Linked DNA regions of Callithrix jacchus. The protein of the gene in region 2 interacts with the protein of the main gene of each other region in a pairwise test. Links are inferred from orthologs where the notes say so. Each region holds a gene or a part of one and is shown on either strand. Other genes may lie near its edges. The genes, in order: GLI1, PIN1 and CCDC33.

Region 1 (3,747 bases), on a different chromosome or scaffold from region 2:
GGAGCGGAACCCGGACCCCAAGACCCAGCCCGAGCCCCGCAGCCAGGGCTGTATCCTTCCTAACTCTTTTTCCAGCCGAGATGCGGATGCCGCATCCAAGACCTCCCAACTCGACCTCGGCACTAATGTTGGGGGCGGGGGGCACAGCTGGCTGGCAGCTGGATGGGGGGGACACTTCTCCCGCCTTCTTCCTCTTTAACTCACCGAGAAGGCAGACTGGCAAATGATTCCCCAAACACTAGAGACTCCCCCAATCTTGCCTACTCAGTCATCTTTCTGCCCCACTGTCCAGCCACCGAAGAGCCTCCAAGGAAATGGGGCGACATCCCTCCTCGCCCACACCCACGCGTGCCACAGCCCACCCACATCTCCCCTTCAGGCTAGTAAAAGGCAAATTTTTTAGCTTCGATAAAGTTTTTCTGGGGTATGAGAATTTGGGATGGGACAGGGAGCTCTAGGGTTCCCCTGCCGGAGCCATAAACCATCTTCGCCGTCTCCCTGTTTTCCAGAGTCCCCCTCGCACCCCCGCTCCCCAACTCCCAGGAGTCGGCTCCGCCTCCCTACTCCCGGTCCCGCCTTCCCCGCCCCCGTTCCTCCTCGGCCCACCCAAGTCGCCGCCGCAGGCACTGGCTGCAGACTACTCCGCTCCCCCCGCCCGCCCGGGGAGCCCAGTCGAGCGAGCCTTAGGGGTGGGGGCTAAGGGGCGGGACACATTCTTGCCTCCTCCTCTCAGCGCATCCGGAAAGCGGGCAGTGGCGCCCTAGGGGGCACTACTGGAGAGTGGGGGTCCCCGTAGGTGGGATGAGAAAGAAGAATCCAGAAAGTATGGAGGAGAGAAAGTGACTGGATCAATAAAATTAGGTGTGTACGGGGAGGAGGAGGAGCCGGGACACCTTAGGTTCCTGGGTATCGCAGCCGGCTTCCCAAGGGTTAACCCCTCCAGACCCCCGGGAACCCCCTGGTGACGTCAAGGGCGGGGATGCCAGGGAGATAACGGTGAGGGGGAGAGGTCTCTGGACCCCGCCCCCCAGGGAAAACCACCCTTATTCCGACCCTTACAACTCCCCCGGGAAACCGCCCCGCCTTCTCCCTCTACTGGGACGTAAAGACCTATCCCAGAAGACCCCAGCTCTCCAGACCCCTAAAACCCTCAGTCCTCAGCCTCTACCAGGTCCCTTTTCCCTAATCCTGTCCCCAAAGCTAGCTGCCCAGGGCTGATTGTTTCGGGGTCATGGGGCCTGAAAGAGGATTCAGAGCGGGGAGCAAGGGCAGGCAGGGTGGTCTGAGCCAGAGGAGGGGCCTCAGTCCCCAGCTCCCGTTTGGGCGGGGGACCAATGGGGATACACTGGCTGACAGTGGCCAGTGGTCCCGCCCAGCCCCGGTAGGGGTCTCCCTGCGGCTGGCTCCCGCTGCCCCGGTGGTCCTGAGTTCAGAGGGTCAAGACAAGGTCTCCCTGGCTCATCCTGAGCGCCTTGCCCTCAGCCCTTGGGACTCAGGAGTCCAAAATTGCCTGGGGTCATTCTAGGGCCTTCACTAGACCTTGGACAGCCTCTCCAAGCCCCCTTCCTAGTCCAGAAGACACTCCTTTCCCCCAAACACAAGCATCCACTGGCACATCTGTCACGAGACAGGTCAAGGGTGCAAGCCCGGCTGGCCCCTAATGGTTCTGTTGCCTCCCACACACCCGTCCCCACCCCACCTGGAGCTCCCTCCTTTTCAGTCCCCTCCTTTCAGAAACACTGACGTCTTCCTGCCCCACGCGCAGACACACACCTGGAGTTCCCTCTCTACCACGCAGACCTCCAGCTGGCCATCCCTCCAGCCTCTTCAGCTCTCAACCTCATGAAAGTGAGATGTTTCTAATATATGGGAGAGGCGGAGACAAAGGCCCACGGTTGCCTGAGACAGAGATACACAGACTGACAGAAGAAGAAAGGGAAGAAAAGGAAGATACAGAGAAAGATACAAGTGAAAAAATTGGAGTTTCTAATGTCTCACCCCAGGCTCTCCCACCCCCATTTTGCCTCCGTGTCCCCGGGTCTGGGACGAGTCCCTCGGAAGCTGAGCATCCCCTGAGGCCCCCTCCCCCACTGCTCCCAGGTGGTCCCCCGCCTGCCCCCCCTTCTCACCTCTGTCTGGGCGCTGGGCTCAGGATGCGCGGTCCAGGGCTGGAGTCTGGGCTGGGGGGTGTGCGGTGGGGAGGGGGGGGCGGAGAGGGCCACGGCAGCGCAGCCTCAATGCCACCCCCACCCCCCCAACCTGGCCCCCAGCCCTCCCGCCGGCCCAGCCCGCCGGGCCGCAAGCCCGGACCACCCGCGAGAAGCGCAAACTTTTTTTTCCCTTTGCAAAAACTTTTTCTCGCTCCAGCCGCTGGCGCGCCGCCGCTCTTCCCGCTCGCCCTTCAACTCCCTCCTATTTCCCTCCCTCTGCCGTTCTGGAGGATGAGGCGGGGTAGCTGGAAGCAAGAGAGGGGGTGCCGGGCTTATTGCACCCCCAGGACCCCCAGGATCCTCCCCCTCCCTTGAGGGACCCTATACTGCCTACGCCCCCCAACCCCCCCAACACTCTGCTGTTGGTGGGCAGTAAACCCCGGCATGGATTTCTGGATCGGCTGGCCCCAAAGAGGTCCCGACCCAGAGACAGAAAACCAAATTCAGGAAAATATTGCGGAACAGGGGGAGAAGTTCAACTGAGAAGGATAATAGTGGAGGTAAGTAGTCGCCTTTGGTTGGTGCCAACTGAGCCTTCTGACATCCTGTGGCTTATCGGCATGCCTTACCCTTTGGATGGAACTTGGAGAGGCTGGGACAGAGTTGGGGTTTGGGGCAAATCATTGAGGGGTTAGGGGCTCTGCCAGAAAATGAGGAGTCTATGGAGCACAAAAGCTAGGAGCAGCGGCTGAGGCTCTGGGTGTAGGGTGAGCCCTGGGACCGAAGCCCCTTTCTGGAGAACCCCCGCTCTCCGTCTGCAAGTTCGAGACTGCGGCCACCTCCGCACCTCGCCTCCGAGGGCTCTAGCCGCTCTTCAAGGCTTTCTGCTCCCTCTGCTGGCCGTTCTCATACATGACACCTGCTTGCAGTCGTGGCAGAAGAGGTGGGAGAGCCGAAGGAGGAGATCGGTCAGGTCCCCTCACTAAAGCTCAGTTAAAAGCCCAGGAGGGGCCGGGCGCGGTGGCTCAAGCCTGTAATCCCAGCACTTTGGAAGGCCGAGGCGGGTGGATCACGAGGTCAAGAGATCGAGACCATCCTGGTCAACATGGTGAAACCCCGTCTCTACTAAAAATACAAAAAGTTAGCTGGGCATGGTGGCGCGGGCCTGTAATCCCAGCTACTCAGGAGGCTGAGGCAGGAGAGTTGCTTGAACCCAGGAGGCAGAGATTGCGGTGAGCAGAGATCGCGCCATTGCACTCCAGCCTGGGTAACAAGAGCGAAACTCCGTCTCAAAAAAAAAAAAAAAAAGCCCAGGAGGTGTGGATATGTGAACTCAAAGAAACGGAGAGGCTCACTGTCAGAGGTTGCTATGCCCAGCGGTACTGCCTCACAGGGTGGTGCCCTGCCCCTTTAGATTTGCGTTGCCATCATGACCAGATATAGGGGAGGGGCACCATTCCAGTCTCTGATTTTTATGAGAAAGAGGAGAAAGCATGATAGAAAAGGAGCACCTTCCCCTCTTTTGTTCAAGCCCCCAGGCAGACTTCCCACATCCTAGCTCTGCTTCCAAGAACTTCCCACATCCTAGCTCTGCTTC
Region 2 (3,001 bases):
GGGTATGCAGGCATAACCACTTCTCCATCCAACAGACCCACAGCTGACTGAACAGGGATGGGGATCAGGCAGGCCACACCCACAGCCCCAACACTGGTGGGGGACCCCATCTCCTCACCACCCACCCCAGGATCCCCTGTCCCACTTCAGGCACTGGAAGCTGTGTCTGCTCCCATCCCCCTCCCTGCAGGAGCCCCCTCCAGTCCCGGAGGGCCCTGTTGTCATGGTAACCACAGCTGCAGTGGGTGCTGGGCTGGACCCATGAACCTTCCAGAAGCACCTGAGATGCCAGGGAAGCAGGTATCAGGGTGCTGGGTGGCTGAACAGTGCCCACGTCCCTGAGAGCCAGCTGCTGGGACTCCCCCTGGCCCAGGGCAAGGGGGAGCCTCTTGAGGGTAAACGCATAGCTGGGACCCTTAGGATGGGGGATTGTGATCCCCTCCCAGTGACATGGTGCCCCCTATGCTTCCCTAAAGAGAAATGAGACATAAGAGAGCGGAGTAGTGGTTCTAGGTGTTTAATTGGGGTAAAAGGGTACTGCACGGTTGCTCAGAGGGCCCACTGCTGGGCCGCACGAGTGTTTGCTTTTGCAACTGAACAGAGGAGCGTGGCCTAACTAGAAACAACTCGGCCCTCGAGTCTGCCTCCAGGACCTGGGGAAGACACGGGGCGGCTCTGCTGACCAGGCCTTCTCTTTGGAACACCCCTCCCACCACACTGCCCTGGTTCTGGGCACCTTCCACCCCTGCTGAAGTCAATTCCTTAAGGGAGAGCCTGGCAGTCGCAGCCCCAACTGGGAATGGACGGGGAGTGGGGACTCTAGGGCCCCCAATCTGGAAGGGCCCCCTCCCAGCCATTTTGGGAACAATAAATACTGTTTGACGGTGGCAGGGAGTAGGGGGTTTGACCACTGGCCGGCAGGCAGTGGGGGAGCTGGCGGGCCCAGCCGCCCTGCCCCACCCAGAGGCCAGGCCTGGGCTCCCCACCCTCACTCTGTGCGGAGAATGATGTGGATGCCAGAATCCGTGAACACGGGCCCGCTCATCTCTCCCGTCCGCAGCGCAAATGAGGCATCTTCAAATGGCTTCTGCATCTGACCTGGGAGCCGGGAGGGATGGTGGGGTGTCAAGGCAGGGTTGTCAGAGGCCAGGATAAGGCAGGGCGGGTGGCAGCCACAATAGATGGGGCTCCTGACTGCGCTGAGCCTCACACTCGTCCACACTCATCCGTCACCATGTTTATTGCCGGTGCTGAGTGGTGGCCCAGCTGGGGGCGGCAGGGCCATTAAAGAGGCCCCAGGAAGCCCGAGGACAGCATGAAGGATGGCAGGCAGGGCTGCAGCCGCTGCTGCGCGTTTAGGGGTCGCTTCGGTAGTGAACTCATCTCCCTGGGCCTGGTTCCCAGCCCTGCCAGGTCATCTGTCCCACCAGCCTCCTCGGAGCAGGGGGGAAGCTGCTGGCCCCATTATGGACCCCCAACCCCCTCAGATGCATGCACCCCACACCCCAGCCTGGCCTCTCCCTGTTTGCAGACCCTGAGAAGGAAAAGGAGGATGCTTGGTCCTCTCTGCCCCTGATTTCCACTGTCCTGGCCAGACAGGCCTAAACTCAGGGCCACCTCCCCCCACCCAGAGGGATTCTGGGGAACATTCCCTGGGATTCTCAGGGAACCCAGCCTTAAACCCCCAAAGGAAGAGGCAGAGGACAGGACGCACCTGCCTTGGTGGGCCCGGGATAGAGACGATGCCAGGAAGAAAGCTCTGCAGCCCCCACCCTGTGTGGCCCCCGCCCTGCCCAGCAGAGCAGACTCTGAAGCCTGAGGAAGGGGCTGTGCTGCCACCTGCTGGACCCTGAAGGGCCATGTGGCACCCCGGATCCCAGTGCCCAGACCCTCCCAGCCTCTACCCCTTAGGGAGGAGAGGGTCCCCAGACCTGGTGAAGCCCATTCCTTGCGCACCTCTGCTGAAGGCGCCCAGGTCTCCCCTGGCCTTGGCTGAGCTGCAGTCGCTGAATTGTGAGGCCAGAGACTCAAAGTCCTCCTCTCCTGACTTGATCTTCTGGATGTAGCCTGCAGACATGGAATGGAATGGGAGTGCCAGGTCAGGGGCAGGGGCACCTGACCAAACGGGATGGAGGGCTCCAGAGCTGGGTGGGAGGGGGGCAGCACTTCACTTGGAAAACCTCCCCCTACAAGTGCACATGCGCCCCACAACCCTTCTCCTCACACACACTTGCACCCAGTCACACCTGTCCTCACCCAAGAAGATGCACCTTCATGTGCATCAGCACTTGGTGCACCCCACCAGTCATCCATGAGTCCTGCCACCCTGTGAGTCTCACACCCCTGCTCCCGCTGTCACTCTCACCATGTGCACGCACGCACGCGCGCGTGCACACACACGCGCGCGTGCACACACACACACACACACACACACACTTGAGGGAAAATCTATATCCAAGCTGGACAGGCCAGAGTGGGAGGCAGGGAGAGGCTGACCCAGGCAGGGGGCTGGGCCCCCGGGGTCCTCTGGGCAGAGGTAGGAGAGCTGTCCAGGGAGGGCCCAACACTGCCACAGCAGCCCTCCCATGCTGTTCCATCTGGGAAGAACAGCCTGGCACTGGGAAAGGCCTCCGAGGCACCCTGGTGGGCTTTGCAAGGGACACTCGAAGACTGTGGGTCCCAGGGTCCCAGAGGCAGGCGACAAAGCTCTTCTCCCAGCTTCCTACCTACAGTCTGCATGCTGGCAGAACTCAGGATGGCCCCTCCCTGTGTGGCCCAAACCAGCCCATCAGGTCTGAATCTCCAGGAGGAAGGGAAGGCCAGGGCTGGTGGAGGAAGGAGGAACAGGGCTGCCAGCAGAGGGGGCAAGATGGCAACACAGTAGCATCTGAGTGACTCGTTTTGACAGCCAAGTGGGGAAGGCTGAGTGTGTGTGCACGTGGTGTGTGGGGTGTGAATGTGTGTGAGCAACTGTGTGTATGCACACTTGTGCATGTGCCAG
Region 3 (3,647 bases), on a different chromosome or scaffold from region 2:
TTCATCCAGACTCCTGGATGACCTCAGGCTTCCCGAAAGGCCAGCCCAACTTTCATTGCTTTCTAAAGGTCCCTAGAAACACCCTCCTGCCCCTGAAACCCTCAGCAGTGAAGGCTACACACAGGGCTGGGCACACAGGGGCTCTGGTGAGGTTGCAGAGGCAGGCTCAGGGAAGTCCCTTGCTTTGGGCTGGCCTGAGAGGTGTCACCTGGTCCTTTCTGCTTATCCGAGCCTGATTGGCAGTTTTAGGTGGCTTTTGGTTAATATCAATGGGGAAGAAAACCCCCAAATCATTTATTTATTTGTTTATTTTGAGACAGTCTCCCTCTGTTACCCAGGCTGGACTGCAGTGGTGCAATCTTGGCTCACTGCAACCTCTGCCTCCCAGGCTCAAGCGATTCTCATGCCTCAGCCTCTCAAGTAGCTGAGACTACAGACTCATACCATGGCCAGCTAATTTTTGCATTTTTAGTAGAGATGGGGATTCACCATGTTGGTCAGGCTGATCTCGAACTGCTGACCTCAAGTGATCCGACCACCTCGGCCTCCCAAAGTGCTGGGATTATAAGCATGAACTACCACTCCTGGCCCCAAATCATTGATTTAATCTAAGTATTTTTGCTTGTTTGCTTTGCAGAGGCAGAATCTTTGGAGACATGGGGAGATGAAATAATTCGACGGATTCTGGGGTTAGGAGCTGGGAGGCGTTGCCCCAGGTGGCCCTTCTGGGGAAGTCCCTCTCTGCTGTGCTAGTCTGCAGGGCCCTCTCTGGAGGTCCAACCTCCATCTAGCCTGGCTCACACTGAATCCCAACTGTGTTCTGAGGCGCTTCTAGGGAATGAAGGAGCTCAGGGGATCTCTGGATGAGGCTCCTGAAAGAGGAGGGGAGCAGTGCAATCCTGGGTCTCCCAGGTCCACAGATGTAACTGAGTACAGGGACCCTTTTTGCAGATTCTCCTGAAGCTGAAAGGCTTCAGGAAAGCAAAGCCTCCAGGGGTGGGGCAGAAGCCGGGGAGCTGATCACATCAGGGTATGGACCCACCTGTGTCAGGCTTTCCTGGCCGCCTGTTTGGAGGTGGGGGCTTGCTCCTGTCCCGAAGCCTGTCTTCCAGCACCTGCTCCATCTTCTCGATCACCTGAAGGGCAGAGCAGAGGCTGGGCTGGCCCAGGGGCTCCCTACCCTGCTGACATCGGTGGGCCTCAGGGATAGCCCCTCTGGCACTTGCCTTCTCCTGGTGCCGCACCGTCTCCTCCAGCGCCTTCATCTTCTGTAGCTTGCCCTGGTACTGCTTCAGCAGTGCGGCCTGTGGCTGCTGAGCCTGATACAGGTGGAGCAGCTCCTTCTCTTGATCATTCTTCTGTGAGATGGGGGAGGAGGGAAGGGGAGAGAATGGGTGCCTGGGAGCCCACCTTGGCCCCTCTGCTAAGTCCTCCACTGGGCTGGTCCCCCTCTCTTCTGTGCCTCCATTCCCTGTGTGCCTGTTTTCCCTTCTCCTCCCAGACTCTTCTCATCCCGATGCCCCCACCATAGCTCCCTCCCCTCTGCCCCCCACAAGCCCCGGCTCACTCGAATCAGCTCATTCTGCAAATGCTGCACCCTGTCCCTCAGTTTCTTCACATCCAGCTCACTCAGCAGCAGTTTCTGCTTCACGGACACTGTTGGGTGAGTAGGTGAGCCAGCTCAGGGAGGAAGGAGCCTCTCTCAGCTCGAATCCGCCTGGTCAGTAGTGGGAAGGCACATAGTCCTCGGGCCCAGGGCTTGGGACAGGACTGGATTCTCCATTTGCCATCCCTGAGAGGACCCAGCTAGGCAGGGGCTGTGTGAGTGTCTGTGGGCATGGGGTTCCTATTCACCAGAGTCCAGTAGCATGTGTGTCTGGGAAAAGCTCCCCACCTCCCTGTTGCACTACCTGGAGTCTGCGCCCAGGCAGATGCCCTGGTGCCCATGGTGGCCTGCACACCCTCACCTGTGTGCCAGGCCTCACTGGCTTTTCCCTGCCCATCTTCCTCCTCCTGCCGGGCCAGGTGGCTCCTCAGTATTCGGTTCTCTCTTTCCAGGATGCTGGCCTGTCTCCGCAGTGACAGGATGTCCTCTGCCATCTTCTGCATGGCCCGCCGGTAGTAGTTCGTATCCTGTGGATCCCAGAGCCCAGAGCTGAGCCCACTGCCCCATAGCAACCCTGGTCCCATGTCCACACCCACACTTGAAAGTCAGCAGGTCTCCACCAAGGCCAGTGAACAGGAGGAGCCCCACACCATGGCCCTAAGTCTTAGCAACTCCCTGGAGGGGTGGTTATCACTTGATCCTCACCCATCCTGGCCATGTGAGGGCAGCCACATTAATGTTCTCTCTGGGGGGGGGCATATCATGTCCCGTGATACCAACACAGGGGGAAACCCCAGGTGTGGACACAGGGGAGGAGGCCTGTGGGCAATGGAGACTTGAGAAGATCCAGGGCCAGGTTTGCCAGATCCGGCTCAATCATAGCCGTTTCTTCACCTTTTCCCCCCTCCCTCCTCACCTTCTTATTTATTTATTTATTGAGATTCTTGCTCTGTCACCCAGGGTGGAGTGCAGTGGCACAGTCTCGGCTCACTGCAACCTCCTCTGTCCCCTGTTCAAGCAATTCTCCTGCCTCAGCCTCCTGAGTAGCTGTGATTACAGGCACTTGCCATCACATCCAGCTAATTTTTTGTATTTTTAGTAGAAATAGGGTTTCATCATGTTGGCTAGGCTGGTCTCGAACTCCTGGCCTCATGATCCACCATCCTCAGTGGATCCCAGCCTCCCAAAGTGCTGGGATTACAAGCGTGAGCCACCGTGCCCAGCCCTCCATCCCCACCCTTCTAATTCCTCTCATTTCTCATGTCACTGATAAGCCAGGGAAAAACCTCTCAGAAATCCCACTGATGCCACTTGGAAGGCGACTGGGTGCCAGCTCCCCAACCAGCCCAGTAGTCAGAAGATGACCCAAGGTCGCCCCAGAAGACCCAGGCTAGAACTCAGGGTGGAGGCTGGGATCCAGCTCCAGGATGTGGGGTATCAGGTGGGGACAGGGGGACTGGAGTCAGCCATGAGGTCAGGAATAGCAGCAGTCCTGAGGTCTGATGCTGACTGAGCATTCGCTGTATTCCAGGCTTTCTTCTAAGCATTTTATGTGCCCTCCCTCAGTCAGTCCTCTCATCAGCCCTTCGAGGATAGACACTATTATCCCCGTTCTACCAATGCGGAAACCAGGGCGCAGAGAGGGCTTGAGTCACTTGCTCAGTTACAAAAGTGATGAGTGATAGAGCCAGGGTGTGAAATCCAGGCCTGCAGGGGCTCGAGCCTGTGTTCTGAAGAGCTGTGCCATCCTGCCATGAGAACTCCAGACGTGGACGCTTCACAATATGTTGAGAAGTGATAAAAGCAGGCTACAAACAAGAATTATCAGTGCAATCCCCAAATGAGAGAAAAATTCATGCCTGCCTGTGTATAAATATATAGGAAAATTAATAGGCTATATTTATATGCATTTGTGTGATAATCAGAAATTCCCTACTGTTATTTATGAAAGGTTTCATAAAGGGAGTTTCTTTCTTGCTTTTTTTTGTTTTTGTTTTTGTTTTTTTTTGAGACAGAGTCTTGCTCTGTTACACAGGCTGGA

What was found.
Region 1: the proteins of PIN1 (region 2) and GLI1 interact in binary tests that used the Homo sapiens proteins (3 or more experiments, as listed by UniProt). The link is inferred for Callithrix jacchus from reciprocal best matches to the Homo sapiens genes PIN1 and GLI1.
Region 3: the proteins of PIN1 (region 2) and CCDC33 interact in a two-hybrid assay, tested with the Homo sapiens proteins (2 studies listed by BioGRID). The two-hybrid records come from large-scale screens. The link is inferred for Callithrix jacchus from reciprocal best matches to the Homo sapiens genes PIN1 and CCDC33.

The regions. Positions count from the first base shown.
Region 1 is NC_133510.1:62,231,931-62,235,677, forward strand, and holds the start of GLI1 (zinc finger protein GLI1), read right to left. Parts: upstream 2,437-3,747; 5' UTR 2,130-2,436; intron 1,920-2,129; 5' UTR 1,774-1,919; intron 1-1,773. UniProt on the Homo sapiens protein: Acts as a transcriptional activator. Binds to the DNA consensus sequence 5'-GACCACCCA-3'. Regulates the transcription of specific genes during normal development.
Region 2 is NC_133523.1:9,042,675-9,045,675, reverse strand, and holds the end of PIN1 (peptidyl-prolyl cis-trans isomerase NIMA-interacting 1), read right to left. Parts: intron 2,068-3,001; coding exon 1,957-2,067; coding exon of another isoform or gene 1,932-1,956; intron 1,099-1,931; coding exon 989-1,098; 3' UTR 502-988; downstream 1-501. UniProt on the Homo sapiens protein: Peptidyl-prolyl cis/trans isomerase (PPIase) that binds to and isomerizes specific phosphorylated Ser/Thr-Pro (pSer/Thr-Pro) motifs.
Region 3 is NC_133509.1:21,172,989-21,176,635, reverse strand, and holds part of CCDC33 (coiled-coil domain-containing protein 33), read right to left. Parts: intron 2,134-3,647; coding exon 1,968-2,133; intron 1,657-1,967; coding exon 1,568-1,656; intron 1,359-1,567; coding exon 1,227-1,358; intron 1,137-1,226; coding exon 1,043-1,136; intron 1-1,042.